2 linked regions of the Ovis aries genome follow. The protein of the gene in region 2 interacts with the protein of the main gene of each other region in a pairwise test. Links are inferred from orthologs where the notes say so. Each region holds a gene or a part of one and is shown on either strand. Other genes may lie near its edges.

Region 1 (15,412 bases), on a different chromosome or scaffold from region 2:
TGGCTAGATCTTTCTAGCATACGTTCCCTATCACTTACGAGTTGTCAGCATTTTTCCTGGTATTCTTGTCATCTGGAGAAGTTACCGATTCTTCTTCACTCTGTGGCCATGTCAGAGAGGAGGGTGGGAAAGGTCTCCCTGGCCCCATGTGCTGCCCACCTGCTCCTCGTTATGTGTTATTGGGTCAACAGACAGATATGTGGTCCGCCCAGACTCTGCTGAGGACTCATGAGCACCATACTCCTAGGAAGAAAGCCTGCTGGTCCCCCATAGTTTCCTCTTGGCATTCAGATGGCTCAGCTTCTGCCACCACATCCTGTGGGACCCAAGCAGTGGGTACTTCTTCCCCGAGTGCCAAATTCATCCTGTGTAACCAAATCACTGCCGATGGTGACTAAAGCCATGAAATTAAAAGACACTTACTCCTTAGAAGGAAAGTTATGAGCAACCTAGACAGCATATTAAAAAGTAGAGACATTACTTTGCCAATAAAGGTCGGTCTAGTCAAGGTTATGGTTTTTCTGGTAGTCATGTATGGATGTGAGAGCTGGACTATAAAGAAAGCTGAGCGCTGAAGAATTGATCCTTTTGAACTGTGGTGTTGGAGAAGACTCTTGAGAGTCCCTTGGACTGCAAGGAGATCCAACCAGTCCATCCTAAAGGAGATCAGTCCTGAGTGTTCATTGGAAGGACTGATGTTGAAGCTGAAACTCCAATACTTTGGTCACCTGATGCGAAGAAGTGACTCATTTGAAAAGACCCTGGTGCTGGGAAAGATTGAAGGCGGGAGGAGAAGGGGACGACAGAGGATGAAATGGTTGGATGGCATCACCGACTCAATGGACATGAGTTTGAGTAAACTCCGGGAGTTGGATGATGGACAGAGAGGCCTGGTGTGCTGCTGTCCATGGGATCGCAAAGAGTTGGACACAACCGAGCAACTGAACTGAACTGAACCCTGAGAAATCTCCAGATTATCAAGGACCCTCTGAACTGAGATATTATTCAGTAATTTAGCAGTTACCAAGCAACTACTACATGCCCAACCTCTAGCTGGATGCTGAGGTTGCAAAAATGAGGATGATGTGATATCCTGAGGAGCTTACCGTTGAAAAAGTCCTTGACAAACAAATGAGTGGTTATTATTACACACTCATTTATCCAGCAAGATTTATCCCACTCCTACTTGTGCTTAAGGTGCTAAGATGAATCCACGAGAGGGAGGGTTAATCAAGATTTACTGGGACTTAGAATGCGCTGGGCTCTGTGCCGAGTACTTGGTTTGATCTTGTTTAATCTCCAAAATTATTTCCATTCTACAAAGAAAGAACCTGAGGCAGACGAAGGTAAAAGTAATTGGTCCAATAATGCTCAGATCGTGAAGGACAGAGCGGGGGCCTATAAGCCTCAACTTTCCCACCAAGCAGCCTGACTTCCCTGAAGGTGAAACAGATGGGCAATACAGGAGAAGTGATGTGACAGAGCAGGGGCCCACACCTGCACTGCGCCACTCCTGCCCCTCTTCCTTGAGGTTCCTGGCAAACTCCCTGAGCTACCATCTCTTCTCACATCCAGCTGAGGATAAGAGGGTTACAGGTGCCCAGAATTGGTCCATGATCCCTGCTGTTTCTGGGCCCTGCTCTGCACCCCACCCTACCCCATCCCACGGCCCATATCACACCCTATGATGATGCTGGGCCTTCTGAATTCCCTTGGCTAACTGGTGAGCCTTCTTATAATTGGTCACTAGGTCGTGGATGGAGGTTGGATCATATCAGTCTACTGCAGAACTCATGGCATTTTGTGCCTGATTAGTAGTCTTTTTCCTTTTTGAATTGTTTTTGCCTTCACGGCATTTCATCTTCGTGCGTTCAGATTTGGCAGGCAACCAATGATACAGTCTGTAATTTCTGCCATTACCCATGAAGTAAAAACTTTGAACAATTCTCTGTTGGCACAGCTACACACACCTTCAGAGATCCCAGACTGGCTCGTTTATTCTGGTGTTATCTTGTACATGTAGCTTGGATCTCCATTTGGTCTACAATTCTAGACTTTCTGGGAGGAAATTTGTAGCCACAGAATTGCTCAACTGAGAGGAAGGGAGTGGATGGACTGATCTCCCTATTTACAGAGTCAGCCTGGTTATGCGACCAGATATCATGCTTTGCCATATTTGGCTGTTAAGGACGAGTGTGTATTTTACAAGTGACTGTTTTTAGCACTCATATAAATAATACTTTTTATTCTGTCCGAGTCCCATTTATAATCTCTCTACCATTAAATAGCACACACATTCCTGCATTCCTTCTAGGTGCCTCCAGAAGGTTTCAATTGCTTACCCAAAGGTTAAACAAGTCCTGGAAGCAAATGAAATCAATCATTAACAAAGGGATGAGAAACTTGCTTCTGGGAAGATTTGTTTCTTCCCTTTTCAAGATTGAAGGGAGAAGAAAAACAGCTCCAAATGACAGCCAGAGGACAGAGGTCACACAGAGTCATTAGAGCACAAGGCCCCTTAGAATTGTGCTTTCAGATCATGGTTTCTAAAATGAAAATCATGGCCAGTTATGCCAAGCTCCCAACCCGGAAACCAAAACTGCCCAGCTCCCTCTGATGCTTGAAGCTCAGCCCACAGCAGAGACCAACCACTGAGGACTCCCAGACCCCCAGGTGGTCCTGTGCTTCCACTGCCTGATCATCTTGGAGTCTCTAGGAGGACCTCCCCAGAAACCTCACCAGGCCAAGAGCACGTCGTGATTCCTGTGAGGTGGGGTACAGAGAAGGCCTTCCCTAGTTGCTGTTGGCACCCAAGGCCTGGCCTCACAGAAGCACTTTCTTAACTTCCCTAGACTCAGCCTCTGCAGCAAAAGCAGTTGGTTGCTTGTCACTGCTGTGTCATACATAACTCCTGTCAGAACAGAGTGATTTATCTGCTTGATTCTGAGTATCCAGTATCTGTGGATTGTGCGACCCTTCGTGCAGTCCTGTCATTTTTTTAACCGACCTTTCTCTCATGCCCCAGAGCAGGTGTTCTCAGCCTTTGTCACTTCCTTGGGTCTCTTAGAAGTGGGTGCTCCCTAAACTTCTGTCTCTTGCTTAATCAATGCATTGACTCTCTTGCTACTTACTGAGGTGCTCGTATGGGTCAACACCTACTGGGCAGTAGACACACAGCAGTGATGGAGCAGACATGGCCTTTGTGCTCACTGTGGGGGTTCAGTTCAGTTCAGTTCAGTCGCTCAGTCATGTCCAACACTTTGTGACCCCATGGACTGCAGCACGCCAGTCCTCCCTGTCCATCACCAGCTTCCGGAGTTTACTCAAACTTATGTCCATTGAGTCAGTGATGCCATCCAACCATCTCTGTCATCCCCTTCTCCTCCCGCCTTCAGTCTTGCCCAACATCAGGGTCTTTACAATCAGTCAGTTCTCCACATCAGGTGGCCAAAGTATTGGAGTTTCAGCTTCAGCATTAGTCCTTCTAATGAATATTCAGGACTGATTTTCTTTAGGATGGACTGGTTGGATCTCCTTGCAGTCCAAGGGTCTCTCAAGAGTCTTCTCCAACACCACAGTTCAAAAGGATCAATTCTTCGGTGCTCAGCTTTCTTTATAGTCCAATTCTCACATCCATACATGACTACTGGAAAAAACAGCTTTGAATAGACAGATCTTTGTTGGCAAACTTATGTCTCTGCTTTTTAATATGCTGTCTAGGTTGGTCATAACTTTTCTTCCAAGGAGCAAGCGTCTTTTAATTTCATGGTTGTACTCACCATCTGCAGTGATTTTGGAGCCAAAAAAAAAAAAAAAAAGTCTGTCACTCTTTCCACTGTTTCCCCGTCTATTTGCCATGAAGTGATGGGACCAGATGCCATGATCTTAGTTTTCTGAATGTTGAGTTTTAAGTCAGCTTTTTCACTATGAAGGTTAGGACCTGACCTGCAATCCCCTCTCACTCCACAAACTCTTCCTGGATCATCTCATTTCTTCTCCAAGGATTTCCATTGCCACTTGTGCCCTAATGACTCCCTCTTGGTTCAGCTGACCCATAAACTCACCCAATTCTGTGCCAGACAGTGCCTGTAGGCATCCTGACTTGTGGTTGGCAATGAGGAAACCAATCTCCATGTAAAGTGGGATGGCTGAGCATCACAACCACGACTCTTATCCCACAATGCCTTTACTTGGTGATACTTTCTCTGATCCCAGCTCAAAGCACCATGGCGGAAAACCTCAGAAGTGCTACTTCTCTTTCCCACCTGCCCAGACATGGATAATATTCTTCCCAGTTGGAGCAGAAATTTCCCTCCCTCCCCACACCCCATTACCACCCAGCAATACCTTCAATTCACCTAGAGTACGGCCTCAGAAAGACAAAGGAATTCCCTTTCCTTGTCGCCTAAGGTCTAATTTCTAAGACCACAGTTCTTATCCCTTCCTGCAAGGGATCTTCCCAACCCAGGGATCAAATCTGCATCTCTTATGTCTCCTGCATTGGCAGACGGGTTCTCTATCATTAGTACCACCTGGGAAGCCCAATACAGACATAAAATAGAACAAATAAAGAGCCTAGAATGGGGCCTGATGCCTAGTCAATAAATAGTAGCTATTGTCATTATCATTGTTATTATTACTTGTACAGATTGAAATCTCTATGTGGGGAGGGACCATGCCTGCCTAATTGTCTACTGAGTTCCAAGCTCCTAGCACAGTACCAGGCACAGTGTCCTTTAGTCAACAATAAATATTCAGAAGGAATGAACCAGGGTCCTCCAGACTCTTACACCTCTCAGGCCAGGAAAGGGGCTGCAAGAATTGATTGAAAGAGCAGCCTGAGTACCCACTTTCTCTCTCCAGCCAGAAGATGTACCAAGTAAAGTGGTTAAGAGTCTGTCCCACAACAGGCTGGAGTACCAGGTCCCTTTGGGGTGTTGCCATGTCCCTGAGCCCAGGCTACGTGTTTCCAGGAGTCCAGTTCTCACAAAGCTAGCCCTTGTGTTTGCCCCGCATCCCTGGGAGGCACAGAGAAAACAATGAAGCCATCATCACCAACTTCCATTCCTAGTCTGTGTGTGGACAGGGAGGGCCGGGGAGAGGCTGTGTTTGACTTGGCTGGGGAACATCATTTTTCTTCACTGAAGAAATGCATGCCAGAGGGGCTAAAAGTAGAAGGTAGTTCTCACCCAAGAGAGCTGTATTCATCAGAGGCCAGTAATATAAAGTAATTACAGTAATATAAAGTATATACAGTAATATAAATATAAATATTTATCACAGTAATATAAAGAAGCTGTATCTTCCAACTACACATCACCCACTCCTGCTTTAAGATTCGGTTCAAATGTCTCCTTCTCCATGAAGCCCTTCCACCTTCCCCTTGGCTCCTAGTGTGCCCTGGGCCTGCTATCTCCATCTGAGCATGCTCAGTGAACACCTTCCTGGAACTTGCCCTCGCCAGGGCAAGGACTGTGTCTTATTTGCTTTTGCAACCCTTGTCTTAGCAGAGCAGTGTGCTGCTGCATTCTGAACTCGGGAATGGCAGAAAGATATCTTTTGAAGGGCATTAAACCCCCTGTTGTACCAGAGTGTGAAGAGAAGACTGGGGTTATGTGCGGGTCTTCATAGGAGGGAAGTTCTCTGAAAACTTCCCTGAACTTCTCTGGGAACTTCTCTGAAAGCTAGTGCTGTGCTCGCTAAGGTAGGGCAGTCAGGGCTACAGGCCACTGCACCATCAGCCTCAGGAATGTGACTCCCTTTATTGCTGAAACGACCTCCCTGCACGGTATAATGACCAGAACTCTCCCTTATTCCAAGCCAGGGATTCTCAAAGTGTGGTCCCTGGACCAGCATCACTTGTTCTCTGCCCCAGATGTGCTGATCAGAGACTCTGGAAGCTAGGCCCAGCCATCTGTGTTTTAACCAGCCCTCCACATGATTCTAACTCAGGCTTGAGTTTGAAAACCCCTGTTCTAAGTACACGGAAACACATGTGAAAAAAGACCGTAGAAACACAAGCCAGACTGACTTCAAATTAAGATTAAACAAGAACCCAAGCCAATGCCCTTTGCTATGAAATGCCCAGGATCAATGAAACACCCCACTATTATCCATGAAACCATTCAACAGGCAATTAAATGAACTCAGCACATTTATTTCAAATGTGCAAAATGAATGTTCATATCCTAGGAGTAACACCAGATGTTTTGCCTCTTTTTTTCCTAATTGATTTTCCAGCCTACAGCAATTCATCTTTATATTTTCCAGTTGGATCTAATGCAAGAAGAGTGTGTTCCGGCAGCATTATTAAATGCCATGCATTTAAAAACAAGCATAACCCAGGCTGCCATGCGTCATCTGGGTGGCTGTCTTCCTAAAATTAAAAAACAACAACAACAAAAACCAGACAGCAATAGGTACCAGGCAGATTAGAGCAGGCAGGAAACCCAGAAAAGGCCCTTTCAAAAGGTCTCCAGGCTCTTGGCCAGTTGCAAAGCTGAATCCTGGGCGCTAAGCCCAAGCTTGAGCTCTTCTCCAGAGTCCTGCACTCCCTGGTACCAAAGGATCTGCAAGCTGTAAAACTTGCAAGTCAACATTTTGTTTTTCAGTGGAAATTTCTGTCTTGAAAATGAAGACAAAAATGGCTGAGGGATGGAGGTGTGTGTGGTCAGGACCTGGGGAAAGGATGAGGCTGCGGATCCTTCCCTCAGCTTGAGTGGACCCTCTCTTTGCTCTGTGCCTCCAGCAGCCCAGACAATTATCCTCTGTTAACCAATGAGCCTGGCTGTGCAGGAGGCCCTGTTATTGATGTGTTTCGTTTGTTTTTAAGTGGGTGAAAAGTCATCAGTAACCAGGCTTGCTTTACTCAGCAAAAGCTCTTGGGAGTCTGGGGAAAGACTGGGAGACAGAAGCCTCAAGTTTTAAAGCAAAGGGCTTTAAAAGGGGCCTTCTCTGCTCTGCCTGGGGGGAAGGGAGGCAGAGGGATGGAGTGGGTGGCAGTGGATGGCAACTAAGGCCTAGAAACCCATAAAGTGTTGATTCCAAAAACAAAAACCACATGTCTTAGGTAGTCAGGGGAGGTTGGCAGTATCTGCTACCTTTCCTAGAAGCTGCTGAGGCTGGCAGTTTTGAGCCATCATACCTGTAGAGGGATTTTGATGTGGTCTCTGAAGGTTAATCTGCCTGTCTGGTTCTGAGATCCACTGCAGCAGGCTGAGTGTCTGAAATTAGAGCTCATCATATTTCCACCTCAGAACCTGGTTGCTCCAACTTTAAATAGCAGCCACCCAAGACCTCCAGTGTTCTGTTGGTAAGGCGGCTACTCTTGGTACTTAGAACAAAGCATTCTGGGCTCCATACAGACACTCAAATGAAAGTTCCACAGCAGAAGGATTGGCTTCTGATTTGGGCTCTCCCCGACTTCTACCCAGGAGCTCAGGTCAGAGATAACATCCTACAATCTCAGGGGGGACACTGTGTAACCCCTGAAGATCTGAAGGGAACCCAGGAACCAGTCTTTGAGACAGTGATTAACAAAAAGTTATCTGAATGCACAAATGACAACTTTCCAAGTTTCAAAGAATAGGATGCACAGGCTACAAAATAGACTTAGACACAGTGTATAAGCCATTCAGACAGTTCACATTAGGTCAAAGGTTGTGGCACTGGGAGCCTGGGTAACCTCTGGCCCTGGGGCAGGAGCAACCTGGTCATCCTTGGCCACCCAATCCCCTCACATCCTCAGAGATTTCATCCCCATTTCCTACAAACACTTGGAGGGAAATAGAGTTAGTGGAGCCTCACCTAGCCGAGTTCTCCCCTTGCCCTCAAATTCACAAGATTTTTACACATCATTAAACCACAGGAGCCATTTTATAAATGTCATCATCATAGTTTTTTTAATATTTTACATAAAAAACTGTATACACAGCTTATAGAACTTTTATGTAAACATCATAAGCTCACCACTTTGTCATTTGTCAGTTTATTTAAAAAATAAAAAAACAAGACAATTTAGTAGAAGTACCACTGGATGGGGGAAGGGAGGGGGAGAAAAGAGACACAAGAGGGAGGTTTATTCTCTGTACAGAGATGCAGAGAAAATTTCACACAGCTTTAGAGACTGCCTTGAGGGAAAAAAAAACCAACAACAAAAGGTTTTAGATAGGCCCTAATACTGGTTACTGCCCTTTATCAAAAGAGTGCGCATACGTGCACAAATAAAATCGCAAAATAGAACAGTGTTGCCACTTTTTTCAAAAGAAAAAAATTAGTGGTTTCTTTTTCTTCTCCTTGTTTTTTAAAAGTCATCATTTTTTAAAAAAACATCAGAAGTAGATGAGGTTACAGCGTACAAGTGTGGTCAGAATGCTACTGTCTTATGCAAATGACAAGTGCATTAAATGTCAAACAATGAAACAATTGTGCAAAGAATTCGTTCCAAAAAGAAGAAAAAAAACAAGTTTAAGCCTTTAAATAAATCAAATAACATCAGTTTCTTGGACTGAACAATTTTCACTTGCAGGACAGGCACAAAGTTCGCTTATGGCAAAAACAACCTGCAGCACACTTCACCCCTCCTTCTCAATGGCTAGTGAGGGGTTCGCCGGGGGGTGGGGGGTGGGGGGGCTGGCTGGCAGGAGACAGGAGTCTGGAAGCTGTGTCCTCTCAGGCCCCAAGTCAGCTGCAAATGTCTTCCCCAGGGGTAGGAAACATGGCCAAGTCTTGTTCGTGCTGGGATGACGCCTCACTCAGACCCGGCTGGAGCTGTTCTAGCGCCCTGTCACTCCACCCACCACCACCATTAAATAACACCATCCTACCTCCGAAAATAAAATTATATCTATATTTATATAACACCCCATCCTCCCCAGCCCTCCCCTCCCGCAGGTCCCGAGGTCTATGTTACAGACAGGGCATAGCAGGCGCTCACTGGTTACAGACGCACATCCGATGGGGCGCGGCCGCATCCCGGCGCCAAGCTCATGTCCGGGGAGCAGGGGCTGGCGTGGGGTGAAAACTCGGCAGCGGGGAGTCGAACATACACACAGCCACACACCCTGAAGAGGCTTCGCTCTTCAGAAAATGGTGTTCAGGGGACCCTTGGCACTCAGTGGGGTGGCCAAGCCTGTGCCACACAGCCGGACGCACAGACACTTGGAAAGGGGGCGCCGGGTGCCTACCACGCGGCCGATTCTCGGGTGCCAGAGCCTGAGTCTCCAGGCCACGGCTGCCGGGGCTGAAAGCAGACGCCAGGCAGTCCGGTGGGGGTCTTTGGGGGGGGCAAGGTTCTCCCCTTCTCCGGGCTCGTGGGGGACGGGCCCGGGATGGGGAGCCGCGCTGGCAGGGGCAGGCGGGTCGGGCGCGGCCCTCATAGCACCTTGCAGCAGTTGATGCAGCCGTTCTGGGAGCCGTAGCGCTTCTGCAGCGCGGCGCGCGTGGCCGTCTCGAAGACCTCTCGGACGCCCTCCTTGGTCTTGGCCGAGCACTCGAGGTAGTCGTAGGCTTGGATGCGCACGGCCATAGCGCGGCCGTCATCCGTGCGCACCGGTTCCTGCTTCATGCGGGCCAGCTCTGTGCGGACGTGCTCATCGCTGCGCAGGTCTTTCTTGTTGGCCACGAGGATGATGGGCACGTTGGGGCAGAAGTGCTTCACCTCGGGCACCCACTTCTCGGGGATGTTCTCCAGCGAATCCGGGCTGTCCACCGAAAAGCACATGAGGATCACGTCGGTGTCCGGGTAGGAGAGCGGCCGCAGGCGGTCGTAGTCCTCCTGCCCCGCCGTGTCCCACAGCGCCAGCTCCACCTGCTTGCCGTCCACCTCGATGTCGGCCACATAGTTCTCGAAGACTGTGGGCACGTACACCTCGGGGAACTCGTCCTTACTGAACACAATCAGCAGGCACGTCTTGCCGCACGCGCCGTCGCCCACCACCACCAGCTTCTTGCGGATGGCCGCCATAAGCGGGCCGGGCCCGGGCAGCAGGAGGGGCCCCGCGAACGCCTCGCTGCCGTCCCGCTCGCCGCTCACTGCTCACCTCGGGCTGCGCGCTGGGGACAAGGGTCGCTAGCTGCACCCAGGTCCCGGGATGGCGCGCGTTCCCTCGTAGTGCTCGGACTGCCGCGGCGGGGGCGGTGGGGGACTCGGGGGCATAGGGCGCACGGTGCGTCTCCGCGCTGCTCCCGAGCGGCGGCCGCTCTCCTCGCCCCTGGTCTCGGGTCGGCGCCTTTGTGAGCAAACGGTGGCCAGAGCAAGCGGATGCGGCCTAGCTCCCTCCTGGATCTCCCTAGGCCTAGGCGAAAACACAAGAGAGAACACGAACTCAGCCCGACTGCGGCGGCAGATGCAGGCTGCGGCCCTAGCGCCCGCTATTTAAAGAGTTCGGCGACTTTCTTAATATAGCCGTCCAATGGGAAGCAAGCCGACTGAGCTCATCGCTGCGGAGCTTGGCTTTGATTGGCCGTCCCCTGCAGCCCACGGGAGGGGCCGGGCGGGCTTGATTGACTGCCCAGGCCGCGGGGCTGGGAGAGGCGGCGACTGGGGAGTTTGCCGCCGCGGCGGGAGCTGCGGGTCTCTGGCTGCGTCAAGGTTCGCTCTTTCTGCGCGCGGGACCGAAGGGCTGAAGACGGCTGCCCGGAGCAGCCCGCGGGGCCTGGGCGAGCGGTTCCGAGACAGGAGGCACTTTGTGGGCGCGTGAATGAGTCTCTCCCACTCGTATTGCCCTGCTTGCTTCGCAAACTCCCAGCGGGTGGTCGGACCTGTAGGGTAGGGAGCGGCTCCTTTAACGTGGTTTTGTTTTTAAATGCACAGACACGCAGACACACACGCACACAGGCTTATTTCCAATCAAGGTTGTGGTTTGTTGTTGTTGTTTTTTCTTTTTCTTTTTTCTTTTAGAAGCAGCCCCTCCCCTTGTCGAGCCTGCCACCATGCTTCCACGAGGGTTCTTTCCCTGGGCCGTGTTTGGATCTGCTAGAGGGTGCCTTATGGGTGGGCCTGGTTCCGGTTTCCGGCTTTAACAAGCCAGTCTCTTTACCGCTTTCTCGGGCACCCAGCCTAAGGTCTCCAGGTGAAGGTTCAGGGAAAGAGGGTCAGTGAAAAGGGAAGGTCGAGGCTGATTGCAGAACTTCAGGTACACTCAGGAAGTAACCAGACAGAAAAGGGCAGCCTCAGTCCTGGCTTGCAGGATTAATTTGGATCCTGGTTTATCTGAAGTAAGTAGTGCAATAAAATCCAACCACCCCACACCCCATTAGGCAAGAATAGGCTGAAGCCCGGATGGGTGGGCTGAGAAACTTGCAGGCTAGAACAGGACAAATTAGTGTGTGTGTTTGAGGGTGGGGAGTGTGCTAGAAACCTAGTCTCTGGCAACCCACCAGGACTTGTTTCATCTACTCCTTGTATTCTGCAGGAGATGACACTTATGTCTGATCTAGAGGGGCCTAAGTCAAAGCATCTTAATGGATAGAAGAGGTGGGGAGGCGGATGGAAGGAGGAAGGGAGGGAGGACCTCCCAGGAAGGAGGAACAGCTTGAGCAAAAACAGAGATGTGGGGAAAGAGTAGGACAAATTCTAACAAAAGAGAATAGCTTAGTGTGGCTTCCCTTGGTTGGGAGAGAAAGAGTTGAAACTCAGGATGGAGACCAGTTGTGGAGGAACCAACTACACAGGTTGGGCCATTTCCATTCTGGGGGGAGTGGGATGCTTCTTGGCGTTTCAGAAAGGAGAGACTCACTACATCACGATGAGGTTCAGTTCAATTCAGTCGCTCAGTCGTGTCTGACTCTTTACGACCCCATGGGCTGCAGCTTGCCAGGCTTCCCTGTGCATCACCAACTCCTACAGCCTGCTCAGATTCATGTCCATCTAATTGGTGAGGCCATCCAACCATCTCATCTTCTGTCATCCCCTTCTCCTCCTGCCTTCAGTGTTTGATCACGATGAGGTTATTGCCTCCTACTTCTGACTCCCCCTCTGACTGGAAGCCGTTGGAAGGCCCGAATTCTTCCTTATCTTAGCATCTTGAAGCGCTGGCACAATGCCGGAGTCTGCATCTACGTAAAAATCAGTAAATGACTGTGGAGAATTCACTTAAATGCTCAGGAACTTAGTTGGAACTTTCTGGAAGTCTCTTATCTCAAACTCCAGTCTGTGCTAACCATCCAGTCAAACCTGGGCACCAGCTGTAACTGAGCCATTTACTCATATATGCGAAAAATGTGATCCATGTGTCAAAACGTAGGTCTCAGATGGACACAGATATCATCAGGTCAAATAAGACATTAGTTCTAGTGTCATTTAAAAGCTAACCTCGTTCAAATGACCAAATCTGCTTCCCTCACGTTGGATTACCTCCACTACAATGCCTAGTGTTTTTTTGTTTGTTTGTTTTTCAGATCTAAGAAACTGAACTGTCAATAAGTAAACAATTTTTCCACAGTGGAATCTCACAAGAGAAAGTAAGGTTTTGTTTGTTTTTTTCTTTTGGATCATTTGTTTAAGGCTCCATTCTTGAAACTTTTTCCTTTCTTTTAAATTTTAGTTAGCCTATTAGAAAAATCTTACCCAAGTTTTTCCTCCTATAGTCAAAACCTTTTATAGCTGTATTGTTAATACTACTTTCCTTCATCTTAATATAACTTGGGAATCTTGGCTGTGTCATTAAGCTTCAAATATTAAGAAAACATCAAACAATTAAAGCTTTGTACCATGTATTTAAAAGAAAACAACAGGAAAACAAAGAATCAGGAAGAAGGATTCAATTCACTCATTTCCTGATTCTCAGACATATTATATGAGGTGTTCCAAGCTTGACTCTCAATATCAAAATAATATCTAGAAATATTCAGTTGGTAAATTATGCCAAAATAAACAAGTAGAAAAAAATCTATGTTCTGTAGCAACTTCTTTCCATGGTATTCATTTGTATATCCAGGGTACTTTGACAAGCTTTGTGGACAGTGGCTACTTCAAAGATCGTACCAGTCACAGGATAAACTTTCCGAAACTAGATGATGTCCCAAAGGGTCTCCTCCTTGCCTCTCCCCTCCCTTCACAATACGCTGGCAAAAGGCAAGGATAAAACTGAATCATCAAGAACAAATCATTTTAATAGTTAACTTTATTAACATATACATTCATTGTATGACAGATATCCACACTAGTGAGAGAGGGAAATTATCCTTCAGACAAAAGGGAGATGTTAATCTACCTCCTGTCTTCAGCTTAATTTATTTCGTCTTTTTTTGTCCACTGTCTCCTACACATTGCCTGTAAATCAGCCCCCCTCTCCCGCCCCCCTCACTCCATACAGACAAGAACAGACTAAGAGACTGGAATGTTCATTGGATTTTAGTGCCACCTTGTGGTAATTTTTACAGGGCTTTTTTTCCCCCCAACTCAAAAAATATATATATAATTGTGGTGGTTCAGTCACTAAGTCATGTCTGAGTTTTTGCCACCCCCACTGAGGACTTCAGCTCCTCAGTTCTCCACTACCTCCTAGAATTTGCTCAAATTCATGTACACTGAGTCAGTGACACTATCTAACCATCTCATCCTCTGCTGCCCCCTTCTCCTGCCTGCAATCTTTCCCAGGGAATGGGCTCTTCGAATCAAGTAGCCAAAGTATTGGAGCTTCAGCTTAAGCAACATTCCTTTCAGTGAATATTCAGGACTGATTTTTCCTTAGGATTGACTGGTTTGATCTCCTTGGTGTCCAAGGAACTCTCGAGAGTCTTCTCCAGCACAATTGGAAAGCATCAATTATTTGAAGTTGAGCCTTCATTATGGTCCAACTCTCACAACAGTACATGACTACTGGAAAAACCAAAGTTTTGACTATAGGGACCTTTTTTGGCAAAGTGATGTCTCTGATTTTTAATACCTTGTCTAGGTTTGTCATAGCTTTCCTTCCAAGGAGCAAGTGTCTTTTAATTTCATGGCTGCAGTCACCATTCACGGTGATTTTGGAGCCCCCCAAAATAAAATCTGTCACTGCTTCCACATTTTCCCCTTCTATTTGCCATGAAATGAAGGGACCAGATGCCATGATCTTAGTTTTTTGAGTGTAGAATTTCAAACCGGCTTTTCCACTCTCCTCTCCTCATCAAGAGGCTTTTTAGTTCCTCTTCACTTTCTGCCATTAGAGTGGTATCATGTGTATATCTGAGGTTGTTGATATTTCTCCTGGCAATCTTAATTCCAGCTTGGTGATTCATCCAGCCAGACATTTCTCATGATATACTCTGCATGTAAAAACAGGGTGACAATATCCAGCCTTGTACTCCTTTCCCAGTTTGGGACCAGTATGTTTGTCCATGTCCATTTCTAACTTTTGCTTCTTTACCTGCATATAACTTTTTCAGGAGACGGATAAGGTGGTCAGGTACTCCTGTTTCCAAGAATTTTTCAGAGTTTGCTGTGATCCACACAGTTAAGGCTTTAGTCTAGTTAATGAAGCAGAAGTAGATGTTTTTCTGGAATTCCCTTCCTTTCTCCATGATCCAACGAATTTTGGCAATTTATATACGTATATAAGCTGTATACAAATATCTTACAAATATTTTCTATATATATTATATATGTGATTATATAAAACTTTAGCCAGAAGGGAGGTATTTTATGACTATTTTTAAGATATTTCATGGGATGTAAAACCTCTACTTGTTTCACAAGCAGCTTCTTTAAAAATTCTTCACATATATTTATATACACACAGAACTTTTTTCACATACACTTAAAAAAATTAATTCCTTCCTAGTTAAATAGTAATGACTAAAAGAGATTAGAGGAGATAACAGCTGTGGAAACTTACTAATTTATATACCAATGGAATTTCTTTTAACCTAATCACGATGCATAGAAAGTTATAAAGTAATTTGAACTGCAAAAATCATCTGCTTTCTCCTCCAGCTAAAAAAGCATCATTGGATAATCTGATATAATTAGAACTAATAATAATTCATTTATGGATAAGCATTTACTGGAAGCCAGCAATACCATAGACATTCCTGGCATTCTTTTGATTTTTAAACTATTTCTAATTCAAGTAGTAGCTTAGAGTGTCTAGGAAAATTGTCAACTTTTCTTCTCAATGCAGTGAGTTTCTAAAAGGGAAAGGCTATTGTAGACCTAACTGTGCTTTTTCATATGGAAAAATCGAAGTGATCCCATATGGTCTGTTTGGGACCCATTTAGCCATGCATTACATAGCTGAGGCATCAAACTGCTTTCTGGGTTCTCCAGCTATCAGTTCAGCTCACTTCAGTTGTTCAGTCGTGTCTGACTCTTTGCGACATTATGAACTACAGCACGCCAGGCTTCCCTGTCCATCACCAACTCCCAGAGTCCACCCAAACCCATGTCCATTGTGTCAGTGATGCCATCAGCCATCTCATCCTCTGTTGA
Region 2 (15,595 bases):
CGACTGAATAGGTGGTCGGTGTGGAAGTGGGCTGTCTGGAGGACACTGGTGGGAGGACTCATAACCTGTCCCCCAGACCCTCTTCTGTGACCCAGCGCTCTCTCCTCTCTCTGGGGCTCAGACAAGAGGACCCCGGGGCCAGGGCCTTTGTTAAGCGGAAGAGCGATGGTGCCAGGATCTGGCAGATCTGGCAGCTGCAGGGAAATAAACTACCGATGGTGCCGGAAGACCAAGGCCCACGCAGGGTGGGCGGGGCCCATGCGGAGTTCAAGGGTTCTCTTCTGTTAACTTGCGAACTGAGGGACGCTTTGAGGTCAGTTCAGAGGATGAGAACCACCTCGGAGTCAGCAGGGGGCAGGGCTTGGGCAGGTGAGGGATGAGGGACTTCAAGGATTCAGGGAGCAGCCAGCCCAAGGCGGGCTCTAAGTAGTTTAGATTTGGAAGGGCAGCTCCACTATCTCCTGCAACCCCAGCACAAACGCCCAAGGTCAACACACTTGAGCTAGGAGGATCAGAAAAGGAAACATCTGTGATACAGTCCAATTTGCTTTCTCTCCACTGCCTCTGTTCCCCCCCAGTCTGCCATCGCCCCCAACCCCGGCCCCCTAGACTGGTTTGTAACCACCAATTCCGGTCTTGGCGTAAGACCCTATGGCTCACCCTGGGCGCTCTGGCTGTGACTGGCCACTACTCCATGGTTTGTATCCCGCGCCCCTCCTTTTCGGGGCCGGGAGGAAGCCCTCTGCCTCTCTTCAGCTCCCCTCGCAATCCCACTGAAGGCCACGGACTTGTTTTGCCGCTTTCTTCGGAGAGGACTGCTTTGAGTCAGAGGCACATCCCCAGGCCAGGGATGGGGTTAGTGGGGGCGGGGGTGGCTGCGGGTGCGGAGCCGGGAGGGCAGGTGTCTCCGCAGTGAGGCGGGCGGGAGGGGGCCGGGCAGCTGCAGTGTGCCGCAGTGTGTGAGTGTGCGCGCTGAGCTCCGGCTCCGGCTCCGCCCCCGCCCCCACCCCAGCATGACAAGTCATTTTCTTGGCTGCCTCTGCATGGGGGGTGGGGAGGGAAAAGGGGGGGACGCCGAGAGGAGAAGAAACCGGCTCCTCTGTTCGGAGCCCCCATCTTGGGAAGAGAAGCGGAGATGGGGGTGGGGCCGTGACTGGGAGCCGGCTGGGTTGACAGCCCTGGGAATGCGGGGCAGCTGCTGGGGAGCAAGCGCTCCCCGTCTCCGAGACGGCCTCTCCATCCCCGGAGGCAGCCAGAAAGAGGGGGCTTCGAGTCCAAGTTTCAAGCTCGAAGGTTGCCGGGAATGGGTGTGGGGAGCACACCGCACACCGGCTGGTCTGTGAAGAGGCGCGTGCCAAGTCTTAACGACCCCTTCCTCCCTTCTTTTCCAAAGTGTCCCCCACCTTCCCTTACTTGGCAAAAACTCGCGGTCCCATTCACCCCCCTGCATCGGAGCAGCTGAGCAATCCAGCAGCTGACACACAGAGACTCTCCCATTCGGTGCATTCCCACAACATCCGCCTTTCCCTCTAATTCTTCTGTCTCTACCAAAGACACAGCCCGTCTCTAACTCCGTCTGAGCCCCAGGCCGCTGGGCAGAGCTGGTGACACCACCCTCTGCGGCTGCTCCTGGGCGGCTGCACCCAGCTCAGCCCAGCTCAGCCCAGCTCGCGCGGTGGCCTGTTACAGTGCTGGCCCCACTGGCCTCCGCCTGGTTCTGGGTCCAGGCTGGCCCCACAGTCAGTTCATCTTCTTGGCTCCCCACCCTGCCCACCCCCGCCAGGCTAGTTCCAGACACAGCAGATTATGTTATCAACTCCCTTTCCTATTACCCGCATCCCACCTCCTCATCACAGCATCCCCCACGGCCGCATGCCAAGTCCTTTGGCCCGGTTAGGTTCTTACCCGGGATGTTGGGGGGAGACCCTCATGGAGGCTGCTGCTCCGGCCTCAGCCGGCAGCTTCAGAGAAGAGTCTGCGGCACTGGGGTGGGAGTTGGGTGGGGGGGAGGGGGGCGCTTGATGGTGAGGGCGGCGCCAGGGCGGGGAAGAGGGGCTGGTCCATGACGAGGCTCTAGAGACTTAACTGTTTCTTTGCCTTCACAGTGTCAGCGCTCTAGTGCTTCTGCTTGGCTGGGGGCTGAGGAGTCGTCTAGCAGCTCAAAGAGTCAGGGTGGTCTCCAGTGGCCTACGGGGCGGGGGTCCTTCTCCCCCACCGCTGCTTAGTTAAGATACATTCTTTTAGTGTTAGCTAAAGACCCAAACTCTGTGCTACACATTGCCGGGGATATAGGAGGTTGGGCCCTCCCCTTTCTCTCAGGAACCATCTGCTGCCTCTCCCCTCAGACTGGGGGAATGACCTTCAGTCCCTGGAGGAGCAGGAGACAAAAAGGCTGGGGGTCTAAAAGCTTAGGGTAGGAGTGAAGGGACTACTTGAGAAGGCTAGGGATGACAGAAAGGAGGCAGTTGCGCTGAGCTCTGCTGTCTTCCGAGCCACAGCTGTAGACATTCGGGGAGGGAATGTGGCAGAAAGAAGTCATTTTAGGTTGGGGGGTAGTTTGAAATTCTGGAGTGGACACACAGTCCCTAGTCCATCTCTAGCCCGTCTGGGGTGGGGCACAGGGGCCCTAAGACTGCCTACAATTCTGTGCCAATGCAGCACAGCACAGCAACCACACAGGCACTGATACTTGGAATTCTTGTTCTTTGAGTATGAAGAGGCATTTTCTGAAGTTTCAGGGCACATTCTACCTTTCAGTGAAATAGTTAAAGGGATGAAGGAAGATCAGCAGGGCCCCAGGCCTATAAGAGTTTCTTTCTATAGACCAATTATTAAATGTCACATAAAGTACACTTTGGACTAAAAAGATCTTATAATGACTTTGTAGGGTGTTGGGTCCCTGTTCTTGTCTCTGTACTTTGCTATGTCTCTCTGATGTCTTCATTTTATAGGGTCTTAATCCTTTTAACATTGGTCCTGTTTCCCTTAGCCTCTTCTGTCTCAGATTTGGTGACACGCTCTAGGACTCAAAGAGAGGACCCAGGGAGCTCTAGCACTGAGTTCCAACCGGTGATGCTCAAGTTCCTACAGGGTCCTTCCCTGCCCTGTTCCCTCCCATCAACCCTCCCCAGTCCTGGGCAATTCCTCCTGCTTCCTCCCAGTGACATCCACTCACTCTTCCCTAGCACCGGCTCCACCCTTGCCCCTGGCTGCCAAGAGCTGCTTTTGAAGGTCAGAGAAGCCAAAATAGTCTCTGCTCTCAGTATCCCCATCCCCCGTAAACTGGAGAGGAGAGGAGGAGCTGAGTCACCAGTGGGGGGGGGGGGGGACTAAAGAGGGGGAGGAATCTTTGCTCAGATCCGGGGATGCAAAGCAGTAACATGGCAACGGCCCCATTTGGATAGAGGAGGCCATCTGCAGAGACGTACAACACAAACCAGGCTGAGTTCCGAGCATCACAAAGGGGAGACACTTCCTTTCTGCAACTTCATAGTTCTTATTTTCTCCCACCTCGAACCTTCTCTCTCCTCCCTGCTTTCTAGAGCTCTCTGGAGTGTGCTAAGAGGGAAACTTGAGTAGACATGTGGTTTGAGAACAAAATAACATTTCCCAGACCATTGCAGAGCCCACCCTTATTCTCAGCTATCACCCCCAAGAGCCACACCCTGGGCAAGGTTCCAACTCACAGCGGAGTTTTCCTTCAGCCCTCACCATCTGAACAGCCTACCCACCACAACCACACCTCCATCCGCTGTGTTCCTTGGCTCTGCTGCAATGCAATGGTGAGATGCCGAGGAAGAGAGGCCCGAGCTCAGACACAAAGTGAGATCAGAAGTCCTGGATCTGAGATCTGACTCTGCCATTTTACTAATCATGTTTTTAAACAAGCCACTTAAGGTTTCTGAAAGATGACTTCCTGAATTCCAAAATGAGTATAATATTAGTACCACCCTCCAATAGCGCCACAAGGAGTAAATGACATAAAAGATGAAAAAGTGCTTCATTCCTAGAACCTTAAACCCGTAATGCACAAATGCCACTGGAAGTCTGTCTCCCTCTTGTGGAAGATTTATGAGAGGTCACCTAGGTGATCAGGAACTCCTAAACCAGAATATCTCAACTCTAGATTAATTTAGCTCCAAGGTAAAGCCATGACTCAAAGTGCCTGTCAGAAGGGACTTCACGTACTCTTCATGTCCCTCCTTTCCCATTTCTGACATCGGTGCGAACCCCAGTTCTAGGGGCCAATGAGCTGCTGTATCAGTTCAGAATAGGCTTCATGTTTGCAGAAGGAACAGAACTAACATTTCCTGAGCACATCAGTGGTGATGCAGCATCAGAAAGAAGGCTTCCAAACTGGCCCTTGAGCCTGTGTCTGTTTTAGTCCCAGAATATCAATCATGAATTATAAATTACGAAACACTCTTCCTTCCTATATGTGCTCAATAGTAGAAGCAGTATCACAGTTCTGAGCTTAAATAACTCCCACTGTTCTAATTGTTTTGGGGTTTGTTTTAAAATGCTTGGAAACTCCAGAGTTTTTTTTTTTTTTTTTTTTGCAGGAGTTAGAAAGGAAGCTTCCAAGTCACCATTGGAGACCAAAGTGGTACAAAATTTACCTTGGAAAGCCTTTACCACATTTGACCACTAGAAGGAGCTGGGCCACTGACTCTCCATCAAAGGGTCCCCTTCCTTTCCGTGTGTGTGTGTGTGTATGTGTGTGTGAGACTCTCCATCAAAGGATCTCCTTCCTTTCTGTGTGTGTGTGTGTGTGTGACTCTCCATCAAAGGGTCCCCTTCCTTTCTGTGTGTGTGTGTGTGTGTGTGTGTATGTGTGTGTGAGACTCTCCATCAAAGGATCTCCTTCCTTTCTGTGTGTGTGTGTGTGACTCTCCATCAAAGGGTCCCCTTCCTTTCTGTGTGTGTGTGTGTGTGTGTGTGTGTGTAAAGGGTGGTGGAAGGAATGACTGTACTCTCCCTATGTGTGTGTGTATGTGGTTTGTGTGTGTGTGTAAAGGGTGGTAGCAGGAATGATTGTACTCTATCATCACAAGATACATTTTTGTCCCCCCTTTTCAGCATTTTGACCTAGGGCTCGAGGAGAGTTGAGAGAGATGGTGGCCCAGCCTGTGGGGTGGGCAGAACAGATAAAATCGTAAGCTACTAGCATATGCCATGGAGCTCATCCCAGCAGCCTGGTTCCCTTGGCCTCCCCACTAATGGAAGCTGAAGGGAGGGGCAGTGTCTGCAGCTGCTCTGGGCTGACTGTTGTTTGTGGGGACAGCTGAAAGAGGAGCCAGCAGGGGTGGGGCTGTGGCTGTCTTGAGCCATGTAGGTTTTTCCAGGAAATTATCCACTATTCTCCAGGGACAGAGACAGGCCACCATGAAAAATGTCCAAACCTAAAAAAATTCAGAAGTAAGCCCTGATATTGGGTATAATTGTCCTAAGCTCCTTGAGGGCACCATGCTAAAACTCTGTTATTGAAAAGATCTGGTAGGTGTTTGTATGTCAGTCTGAGAGGTCCCTGAGAGTAACTATGCATCTCCCTGTAAGTATTTTCCCAAGCATCCCCCAATCTTCATCTGAAGAATGGCTAAGTTTTTTGGTTCAAGTTCTCTTCATTCTTACATCATTCCAGAAAGCATCCTTCTCTCACATCCATGTCCAAAAAGACAAGGTTTGAAAATTCAGCGTGAATTAATAACAATCAGCAGATACTTCCCAAACTTCAATTGAGTCATTAATTTCATCTGCTGTCATCCCTTTCTCCAGCCTTGCACCAAAGCTCCTAGGATTAATAAAGTGGTAAAACTGTCGATTTTCACATTGTTAGAGCTAATGGAGGAAGCCATGGCGTAAGTATACTAAACAGAAGGAAGTCTCAAAACAGCGACTGGTTAGCTTCATAGGAAGCCAGTCACATCAAGAAGATGCCAGCCTCTAGAAGGAGCTGGGCCACAGCATTTTCAAAATGCTGCACATAGTTCTAAGATAATATAGCATTAGTCACATTAAACTTGTCTTCTCTCTCCAGGAGCAGCTCTAGAGGGACAGGTGATCAGGGCAATGACCAACGATGTGGCAGTTAGCAGGAGGAGCAGAACAAGAAGGGGAAGTGACTGTCTAATATAATGGATAATTGAGAATCATCTGCATAAGATACGAATTCAGTCATTTGATGGTAAGGACTGTTGAACTGGGTGGATTTATATTCCATAGAGACACTGGTGTATGAATTGGTTTGCCGACATTTACCAATAACATGACCAGATGCCCAAGCATTTTTATAATGCGATGTAGAGCTTTCTGTAAGTCTTCCCATAGGTACTGTCATGGAATAATAGCTTCTAAAATGTTACTTTTCTCAAATTCCTGACCATTTCTCCCACACAGCAGAATGGGAAACTGCATCCTGCAAACTTTGATCTCAGAGCCAAATCTCAAAGTATGGCTAGCTCTTGCAGCAGTGAACCCAGGAAACGCTGCTTCCACTTTGCATTTGATGGTGCTCATCAGCCTTTGGGTCAAGGTTTCTGCTCTGTTCTGAACATCTGCTGACTGAGCCAAAGGAGGAACCAGAAACCCTAGAGGCTGGAGGATAGGCTGTGCAGCCTGAGGGAAAGTGCTAAGCAAGGATCTGGAAAGGTGAGTGGGGGAGTTCAAGGGTCCCTGTAAAGGGAAGCAAGGAGCCCAGGGTATACAGAAAGGGGAACACAAAAAAGAGAGTGAACTTTTACATAGGAGATGATTAATCACTCAAGAGGTACCTCATTCCCTTAGTGCACGTTGGCTGTCCTTAAACCACCCCTTATCAGGCAGAAATTACATTCTCCAGGCTTCCTCCACCATCATACCATTTGTCTGTGAAGTGACCTGGGTATGTGGAGATCGCTATAGAGCTCTACAGCATTCCCCTCAGGAACCCCTCCCTTCTCCCCAACCCAAACTTCCCACAAGGTCAGTTCTGCCAGAGAGACTGGACCTCTGCTCTTCTGTGACCATCCCTCACCCACAGCACCGAGACAAATGACACTAGTCCTAACCTTTGACCTCTGATGAGAAGTGAGCTAGATGCCGGGTAATGAAGAGTCTCAATTGTTGGTTCAAGTCAATGGATGATAAATCAATGTTCCAGGAGAGAATGCCTGTGAGAGAAAAAGAAACAAAGAGAGACCCAGATAAGGTCAGAGGGACTGGACTTCGGGGAGCATTTCCAAGCTCACAGAAGGGGTAAGGAGAGGGAGGGGATAAGGATGGTTGTCATGATCAGCCTCACTAATGTATTTAAGAAAGGTGGCCAGTCCTATGTCTAGCTCCCGTCCTGTACCATTCTTGACTTTGCTTGAGCTAGGGGAAGGAGGGCAGTTTAGGCTAAATTTGGTCATTGGTGAATTTGTATGTAGGAATTTTCTTACAGAGTTGCCCAGTTGTGATAGAAGTGACACCCAAGGGCCCATTTCCAGATACTAGGGGCTGCCTTCCCAATACAGCGAAGTAGGATCCTGGACTTTCCTCCTGTGGCCCCCTCCTTGCCTCCACTCCTCCGTGGCTTGCTTCCACCCGCAGGTGGCTCCGCAGCATTGCGCCACAGGCAGTGGAGGGCTGAAGAGCTTGTGGCCACTAAGGTCACTCTTTCAGATTGGCCGCTAGCACTGGGATATTTGAGATCTGTCTGCAGCATTCAGAAAGCACACTGTGCCTGTTCAGGAGACCTAAAGAAGAAACTAAGGTAGGGACATGGACTCTGCATGGGATGGTGAGGACTTTCAGGACCTCTGGCCCAAGACACTGCGGGAGAGAGGGGTATAACCGAGGGCATCCCCACCCAGGCAGTGCCAGCTCCCCCACCCCTACCCCCACCCCTGCCTCAGGGAGATTGCGGAACGCCGTGGGGCGTGAGGCGAGGATGGGGTTGTGAGATGCAGTTTGGGAGGATACGAACGCGTGACATAGAAGATGCAGGTGACAGGGGCTGATGATTCAGATTAACAGGGCGCGCAGATCTCAGGAAATGCACACTAGGGATAGAGGATGCAGACGGCAGGGAAGCACGGGATGGAGGATGTCCCGGGCGCAGCCAGGACAGCAGCTCACCTTGTTCAAGGTGGGCCCGAACGGCCCTCAGCTGACTCTCTGTAGCGATATCTCCGATCACGATGAGCAAAGAGTGCTTCCGCAGGTCCCAGCGTGCCGCCGCCACCACGGCTCCGGCCTCGCGCAGCGGCTCCGCGGGGTTCTGAGCCGGCGGAGAGCCGGGGCTGCGGAGCCCTAGCCCGGGATTTGTCTCCATGGCAACGCCGCGAGGCCGCCCGGGCCCAGCCTCGGTCTCCATGGAAACTCCGTTGGCGCGCTAGGCCAGCCGCGTCCGCTGCGGGGAGAGTGCGCGCGGTTCTTAAAGGCCGGCAGCAGAAGTCGTTCATTGGCTGCTGCCTGTCAGGGGGCGGAGCACTGGCGCCGCAGGGGCGGGGCTGCGGCCGCGACGCTCCGGCTCTGCGGTGTCGCTGGGCGTGGGGGGCGGGTACCGAGGTGGGGGGATTGGCTTTCCCCCTCCGTCATCACTCGTTTTCCAGAGGGAGCAGATAGTCGGACTAGAGTAGGGGTGGGGGCTCTGCGGGCCGGGTGGAGGGGCGAGTCTTTTGCCTCCGCGCCAGAAGAAGCTTCTAGGTAGTCTGTTTTCCGAGTAAGTGCTGTCTGGCAGTTCCGCAGCCTCGACAGTACTGAGGGGAGCCATCTTGTCCCTCTCTGCTTGAGTTTGGTGTATCCTTCAGTCGGTGTGTCTGTATTATCGTTGTTTGGAGGTGGTTTTTTTTCTTTTTTTTTTCCCTCCTGTCACTGCCTGCCAGGGTCCTAGATTCCGTCCTCGGTTTTTCTGTCCTCATTGCCCCAGGCCCTGGGTGTGCTCTGGAAGGCTGTGCAGTATCAGGACGGACAGAATGACCTTCCGGCCCTGAGTCCCTGGTGAGTTGTTATTCCGAAGATAGTGGTTGGCTTGTCTCCATCTCTACTGAGTGCAATGAGCTCAGACTGCAGCAAAGGGGATTTGAGTAAAACCCAGAAAAGTCCTTCCCAACTACTTGTGACACAGTGAATTGGGTAACCTTGGGAGACAATGGTATTAGTTCTCCCAGGGAATTCTCAAAACTGAAGGGACAGTGTTTGAACAAGGGAAGAGATTGGCCCTTCCAAAAAAAAAAAAAGAGCCAAAACCAGAGGATGTGAAAGAGGACTAAGGAGGCTGGCACTGTTTTATGATTGCCTGGAACATCCTTGTGAAAATGGTGTGGTGCTAAAAGCCTAATCCACACCCCCTCCCTCCTTTCCTCAGCCTGTCCCCACCACCTACTCTGCACTCCTGTATCTTCTTTTACCCAGGATACTGAGTCATTCTGTATGTGTATCACACAGAGCAGAGCTTGCCTTCCGCCCTAGGACTCCAGCAGTACTTTTGTGGGTTCCCTGTGCCATACACTTTCCGGATGGTACAGGAAAGAAAGGAGCACAGTGCTTGATTCAGCACGGCTGTGAGCCACCTTCTGATTCACCTCCTCTTTGGAGGCCTTGATGAGGGTTGGACAGTGTCTGCATTTTAAGTACCTCACAGTAGCCCTGGTTCTTATCATGAAGCATTTGTTACTAGCAAAACATCCATTCTGCAATTTGGATATGGCCCTATCTGAAACTAACATAGTGTTATATGTCAGTTACACCTCAAATTAAAAAAAAACAAACAACAAACCATGGACAGGGCCCTGAAAATCCTTTGTGTAACAGAAATAGTACCAGTGGAATATAAAATGGTGGGGATGCCTCACCCTATTTGACACATGAGACAGTGCTCTTCTCTACCCACCCGCCCCCCATTTGCAGATCTCAGTCTGGCAAAGAGCACAAATGGATGTGCAAGCCTCCCCGTTTCTGCAATCAGAAAAGAGTGCCACGTGGAGGCAGAGCCAGAATAGGTTGTAGAGAGAGGAAGGGGACAGTTACCATAGCAACTGTAAAGATGGGCCTTTAACTAGCACAGGGCCTCAGTATAACGGTCATCTGCAGTTAAGCACAGGCTCTGCTTTCATCAGTTTTGACAAAGAGATTAGACAATAGATCTGAATTCTGTAAGGAAGGACCGCACACTGATCAGATGGTAGGGGCAGCAATTCAGGCCTGTGATGTCAGACCCTGCTAGAATTGGCTTTTTTTATTAATTAGAGCTGCAAATACAGACTGGTAAAGGAAAGTGAAACTGTTAGTCGCTCAGTTGTGTCCTGACCCCATAGACTATAGCCTGCCAGGCTCCTCTGACCATAGGATTTTCCAGGCAAGAATACTGGAGTGGGTTGCCATGCCCTTCTCCAGGGGATCTTTCCGACCCAGGGATTGAACTTGAGTCTCCTTCATTGTAGGTGGATTCTTTACTGTCTGAACCACCAGGGAAGTCCCTAAATACGGACTGTGATGGGACTAAAAATAGCCTGGAATGTTAGTATCTGTGCGCCAGAATTTTGCAACTGCAGACAGAAAACAGATTGCATATATGTACAAGGCATAGAAAGCTGGATAAAAATTTTAAAGAAATACATTTATATATGAGTTGCAAAGTATTTAAAACCCTATTTTGTGTTTAGGAATAGTTTGCTGTGGCAGGAGCATTCAAAGACCCATCCAACTGAGAACCTAAGATATACGTGATTGTGAAGCATGTTCAGTAGTGTGTGATGGTGATAGAGCCTGCTGTAATGTTTCATTTAACTGTTTACCCCTCAAACTGACCAGGTATGATCTTTTGGAAATTGTGCTCTTCTATAGTTTCTTCCACATTCTTGTCCTATAGCATTGGCAAATATAGTGGTTACAATCTGCTTTCCAAACTATTTTGTGATGAAGGACCCTTGAATTGTGAAAGGGGTCTCTAAGGATCTATCACTGAAAAAGGAAGTTAGCGTAGATTTCAAAGGAAGACACTATTACAGGCTCTTTGCTTGGGTATGTATGGGAGTGGGCTCGAGGCAAAAGATATTACAGATCGTAAATGGTTTGAAAGGTAATTGTAGCCTTGGCTAAGTTTAAGCCACTTAAGGATTCTCAGCACCCAGACCTTTGTCAGTTCATAATGTATAGTGATAAATATGCAACAGGTAAATTATACAGATACTTAACAAAGTAGGAGGGGCATTTCTATGTTTTTTTTTGAAATAATGTCATTTTGTTATTTATATTATTAAAGTTATCCTCATGAGAAAATGACAAATGTATTGGAATGAACTACTTTCATCTAGAATTGTGTATGTGTGAGAGAGGAAGGCGCCATCGTCCTTTGAATACTTAGGGTCTCCATAGGACTTAGGCTAGCTCTGATAATTCGTAAAGAAAATGTACTGGCTCCTCCCCGCTAGTCCAATGAATGTCAGTTTTATGGGGATCTCAGCTCATTTGGCAGAATTCCAGCTGGCTGTGCTGGATTGCATAGTCTTATCAACCAAGATATACAAAAGGAGCTGAATGCAGCTCACATTCCTACCCTGTACTCAGTTGTGCCTATTAAAGCATTCTTTACAAAGAGAGAGGTGTGTTGAATTACAGGATTGCTGTGTCAGAAGCTTATCCTTGGCTTTTGGGGAGAATACTAGGATCATAATACAAACCAGCAACCATAAGGTCACCTCTTTGCATGGTTTATCTGCAAAGGCATGGTTTATCTGCATGGTTTATCTGAGTGAAATAACCTCTAATGAGGCACTGAATAAAAATAATCTCTAAAAAGTTTGAGATGGGGAAGAAGTCTGCATTTATTACTACTCTATCTTCCACACAGAAGAAGCCCACAATAAACATTTTTTGCATAATTGTCCTAATTATTATTTATTCACTAAGTAATGGGAGGATCAGGGCACTGGGTTTCCCCTCCCTGTGCAGAGCATTGAAACGGACAATAAAGAAACTTTTTCTTCCTTCGCTATCCACACACTTCTCTTAAAGTCATTTCCAAGAGTAAAAAAGAAACATTTATGGATATCATTTTCTCTTTTCTGTTTGATTAGTGTCTGAAATGAAAGTCAGTGTTTGGCTGTGGTCTCTGATAACCATCTTTTCCTTTAGTCTAAACGAAGTTGCTCTTACTATAAGAATCTCTAAGGATTTTCATGTGATGATGAAGAGGATGGTGGTAAAGAGGCACAAAATGTATTACTTAGTTTTGAGGCCATGCCTATGTGTGAATTAAATTTTGCATCATTTTTTTCAAGATTTCATATCATAGAGTCACTTTCCTTCAAGGAGTATTTACTTGGGTTGCAGAAATATTGTTACCTTTACAACATTCAGTTCAGTACAGTTCAGTTGCTCAGTTGTGTCCGACTCTGCGACCCCATAGACTGCAGCACACCAGGCCTCCGTGTCCATCACCAACTCCCAGAGTTTACTCAGAACTCATGTCCATTGAGTCGGTCATGCCATCCAACCATCTCATCCTCTGTCGTCCCCTTCTTTTCCCACCTTCAGTCTTTCCCAGCATCGGGGTCTTTTCAAATGAGTCAGTTCTTCACATCAGATGGCCAAAGTATTGGAGTTTCAGCTTCAGCATCATTCCTTCCGATGAATGTTCAGGACTGATTTCCTTTAGGATGGACTGCTTGGATCTCCTTGCTGTCCAAGGGACTCTCAAGAGTCTTCTCCAACACCATAGTTCAAAAGCATCAATTCTTCAGTGCTCAGCTTTCTTTATAGTTCAACTCATATCCATACATGACTACTAGAGAAACTGTAGCTTTGACTAGATGGACCTTTGTTGGCAAAGTAATGTCTCTGCTTTTTAATATGCTGCCTAGATTGGTCACTTTCACTAGATTGGTCATAAATTTTCTTCGAAGGAGCAAGTGTCTTAATTTCATGGCTGCAGTCACCATGTGCAGTGATTTTGGAGCCCCCCAAAATAAAGTCTTTCACTGTTTGCACTGTTTCCCCATCTATTTGCCATGAAGTGATGGGACCAGATGCCATGATCTTAGTTTTCTGGATGTTGAGTTTTAAGCCAACTTTTTCACTCTCCTCTTCCACTTTCATCAAGAGGTTCTTTAGTTCTTCTCTTTCTGCCATGAGGGTGGTATCATCTGCATATCTGAGGTTATTGATATTTCTCCTGGCAATCTTCATGCCAGCTTGTGCTTCACCGAGCCCAGCTTTTCTCATGATGTACTTTGCATATAAATTAACTCAGAAATCGTTTGTCTTCTCATCAGTTCTCTTTCCTTTTGATTTTGGTTGTACTGGGTCTTTGTTGTTGCACTTGGGCTTTCTCTAGTTGGTGTGAACAGGGGCTACTCTTCATTGCAGTGGGTGGGCTTCTCACTGCGGTGGCTTCAGTAGTTGTGGCTCACGGCCTCTAGGCCTGTGAGCTCAGTAGTTGTGCAACACAGGCTTAGTTGCCCTGTGGCATGTGGTATCTTCCCAGACCAGGGATTTAACCCATGTCCTTTGCACTGGCAGGCAGATTCTTAACCTATAGGCCATCAGGGAATTCCTTATCACTTCTTGATCCTTTATCATATGTCTTCACTTCCTTTTCTAACAATACTTCCTCCAAAATACCTTGCATTAACCCCTTCATTTAGTCAGTCTGAACCACTTGCCTTTCCCTCAGTCATTCTTACACTTTCTGTTCAGGTTGTCTCTTTCCCCCTCAGAATGCCCAGAATTCATTTTTAAGTCATTCATTCAGTGATGTGTATTAAGCACATACTGTGTGCCAGCAAATGAAACAGAGGTCCTTGCTCTTGCGGAGCTTATGTTCTAGTGGGGAGGAACAGATAATAAATAATAATGTGGAAAATTCTGAAAGAGATGGGAATACCAGACCACCTAACCTGCCTCTTGAGAAATCTGTGCTCAGGTCAGGAAGCAACAGTTAGAACTGGACATGGAACAACAGACTGGTTCCAAATAGGAAAAGGGGTATGTTGAGGCTGTATATTGTCACCCTGCTTGTTTAACTTATATGCAGAGTACATCATGAGAAATGCTGATCTGGAAGAAGCACAAGCTGGAATCAAGATTGCTGGGAGAAATATCAATAACCTCGGATATGCAAATGACACCACCCTTATGGCAGAAAGTGAAGAGGAACTAAAAGCCTCTTGATGAAAGTGAAAGTGGAGAGTGAAAAAGTTGGCTTAAAGCTCAACTGAAGGGTTAATAGGGTAGCAGAGATGTGCCTGCAAACAGGCCTCTCTGCTAGGGCTGGACGTCCTTGCAAACGAGGCGTTCTGCCAAAGAGTCTGGACACAGCCTTGAGTTTAATGGTCCCTTGCAAACGAGGGAGCATTCCCTTCTTGTGATGAAGGAATGGAGGGCTTTGTATAGACTCTGCAGTAGACTAGGATTTTACTCCCCTTTGCTATATGATAACATGTATGCACCTGCGCTGTGCTGAAAAGGCTTATTCATGCAGTCTGGAATTCTGCCTAGGGGGCTTTTATAATAAATGGCAATTAGTTTTTTGCCCAGTTCTGTTCCTCCGGCTGGAGTGTGCATGTTGTCTGTCTCTTGTGTGTCTTGTTCTGTGTCATTTCACTCGTAATCTCCAACACTCAACATTCAGAAAATGAAGATCATGGCATCCGGTCCCATCACTCCATGGGAAATAGATGGGGAAACAGTGGAAACAGTGTCAGACTTTATTTTGGGGGCTCCAAAATCAGTGCAGATGGTGACTGCAGCCATGAAATTAAAAGACGCTTACTCCTTGGAAGAAAAGTTATGAGCAACCTAGATAGCATATTCAAAAGCAGAGACATTACTTTGCCGACTAAGGTCCGTCTAGTCAAGGCTATGGTTTTTCCTGTGGTCATGTATGGATGTGAGAGTTGGACTGTGAAGAAGGCTGAGCGCCGAAGAATTGATGCTTTTGAACTGTGGTGTTGGAGAAGACTCTTGAGAGTCCCTTGGACTGCAAGGAGATCCAACCAGTCCATTCTGAAGGAGATCAACCCTGGGATTTCTTTGGAAGGAATGATGCTAAAGCTGAAACTCCAGTACTTTGGCCACCTCATGCGAAGAGTTGACTCATTGGAAAAGATTCTGATGCTGGGAGGGATTGGGGGCAGGAGGAGAAGGGGACGACAGAGGATGAGATGGCTGGATGGCATCACTGACTCGATGGACGTGAGTCTGAGTGAACTCCGGGAGATGGTGATGGACAGGGAGGCCTGGCGTGCTGCAATTCATGGGGTCGCAAAGAGCTGGACACGACTGAGTGACTGAACTGAACTGAACTGAATGTCAGAAAGTGATTAGTACTGTGGCAAAAAAGAAAACATCATGATAAGCGTGACTGAGAATGCTGGAGCAGGGTGTGGTGATGGGGAAGAATGGTGAAGTGGCAGGAAAGGTTGCAATTTGAAAGGGGCTGGTTAGGGTGGGCCTTATCAAGATGAGACTAGAGCAGACTTAAAGGAAGCAAGGGGGTTTGGTCATTTGGCTATGTGGTAGAGAGTCTTGTAGGCTGAGAAGATAGCCAATTCAAAGTCCCTAAGTAGCAGTATGCCTGGTACATTCAAGGCATAGCTGGAGCCCACTGTGCCTGGAGCAGAGGAGTGAAAGA

Evidence for each region.
Region 1: the proteins of MAP1A (region 2) and RHOB interact in a two-hybrid assay, tested with the Homo sapiens proteins (2 studies listed by BioGRID and IntAct). The link is inferred for Ovis aries from reciprocal best matches to the Homo sapiens genes MAP1A and RHOB.

What each region holds. Positions count from the first base shown.
Region 1 is NC_056056.1:28,321,815-28,337,226, reverse strand, and holds RHOB (rho-related GTP-binding protein RhoB), read right to left. Parts: upstream 10,008-15,412; 5' UTR 9,965-10,007; coding exon 9,374-9,964; 3' UTR 7,879-9,373; downstream 1-7,878. UniProt on the Homo sapiens protein: Mediates apoptosis in neoplastically transformed cells after DNA damage. Not essential for development but affects cell adhesion and growth factor signaling in transformed cells. Plays a negative role in tumorigenesis as deletion causes tumor formation.
Region 2 is NC_056071.1:53,084,630-53,100,224, reverse strand, and holds the start of MAP1A (microtubule-associated protein 1A), read right to left. Parts: upstream 8,398-15,595; 5' UTR 8,336-8,397; coding exon 8,098-8,335; intron 7,733-8,097; exon of another isoform or gene 7,570-7,732; intron 7,234-7,569; exon of another isoform or gene 7,149-7,233; coding exon 7,047-7,148; intron 6,649-7,046; exon of another isoform or gene 6,397-6,648; intron 6,185-6,396; exon of another isoform or gene 5,301-6,184; intron 1,986-5,300; exon of another isoform or gene 1,906-1,985; intron 828-1,905; exon of another isoform or gene 661-827; intron 1-660. UniProt on the Homo sapiens protein: Structural protein involved in the filamentous cross-bridging between microtubules and other skeletal elements.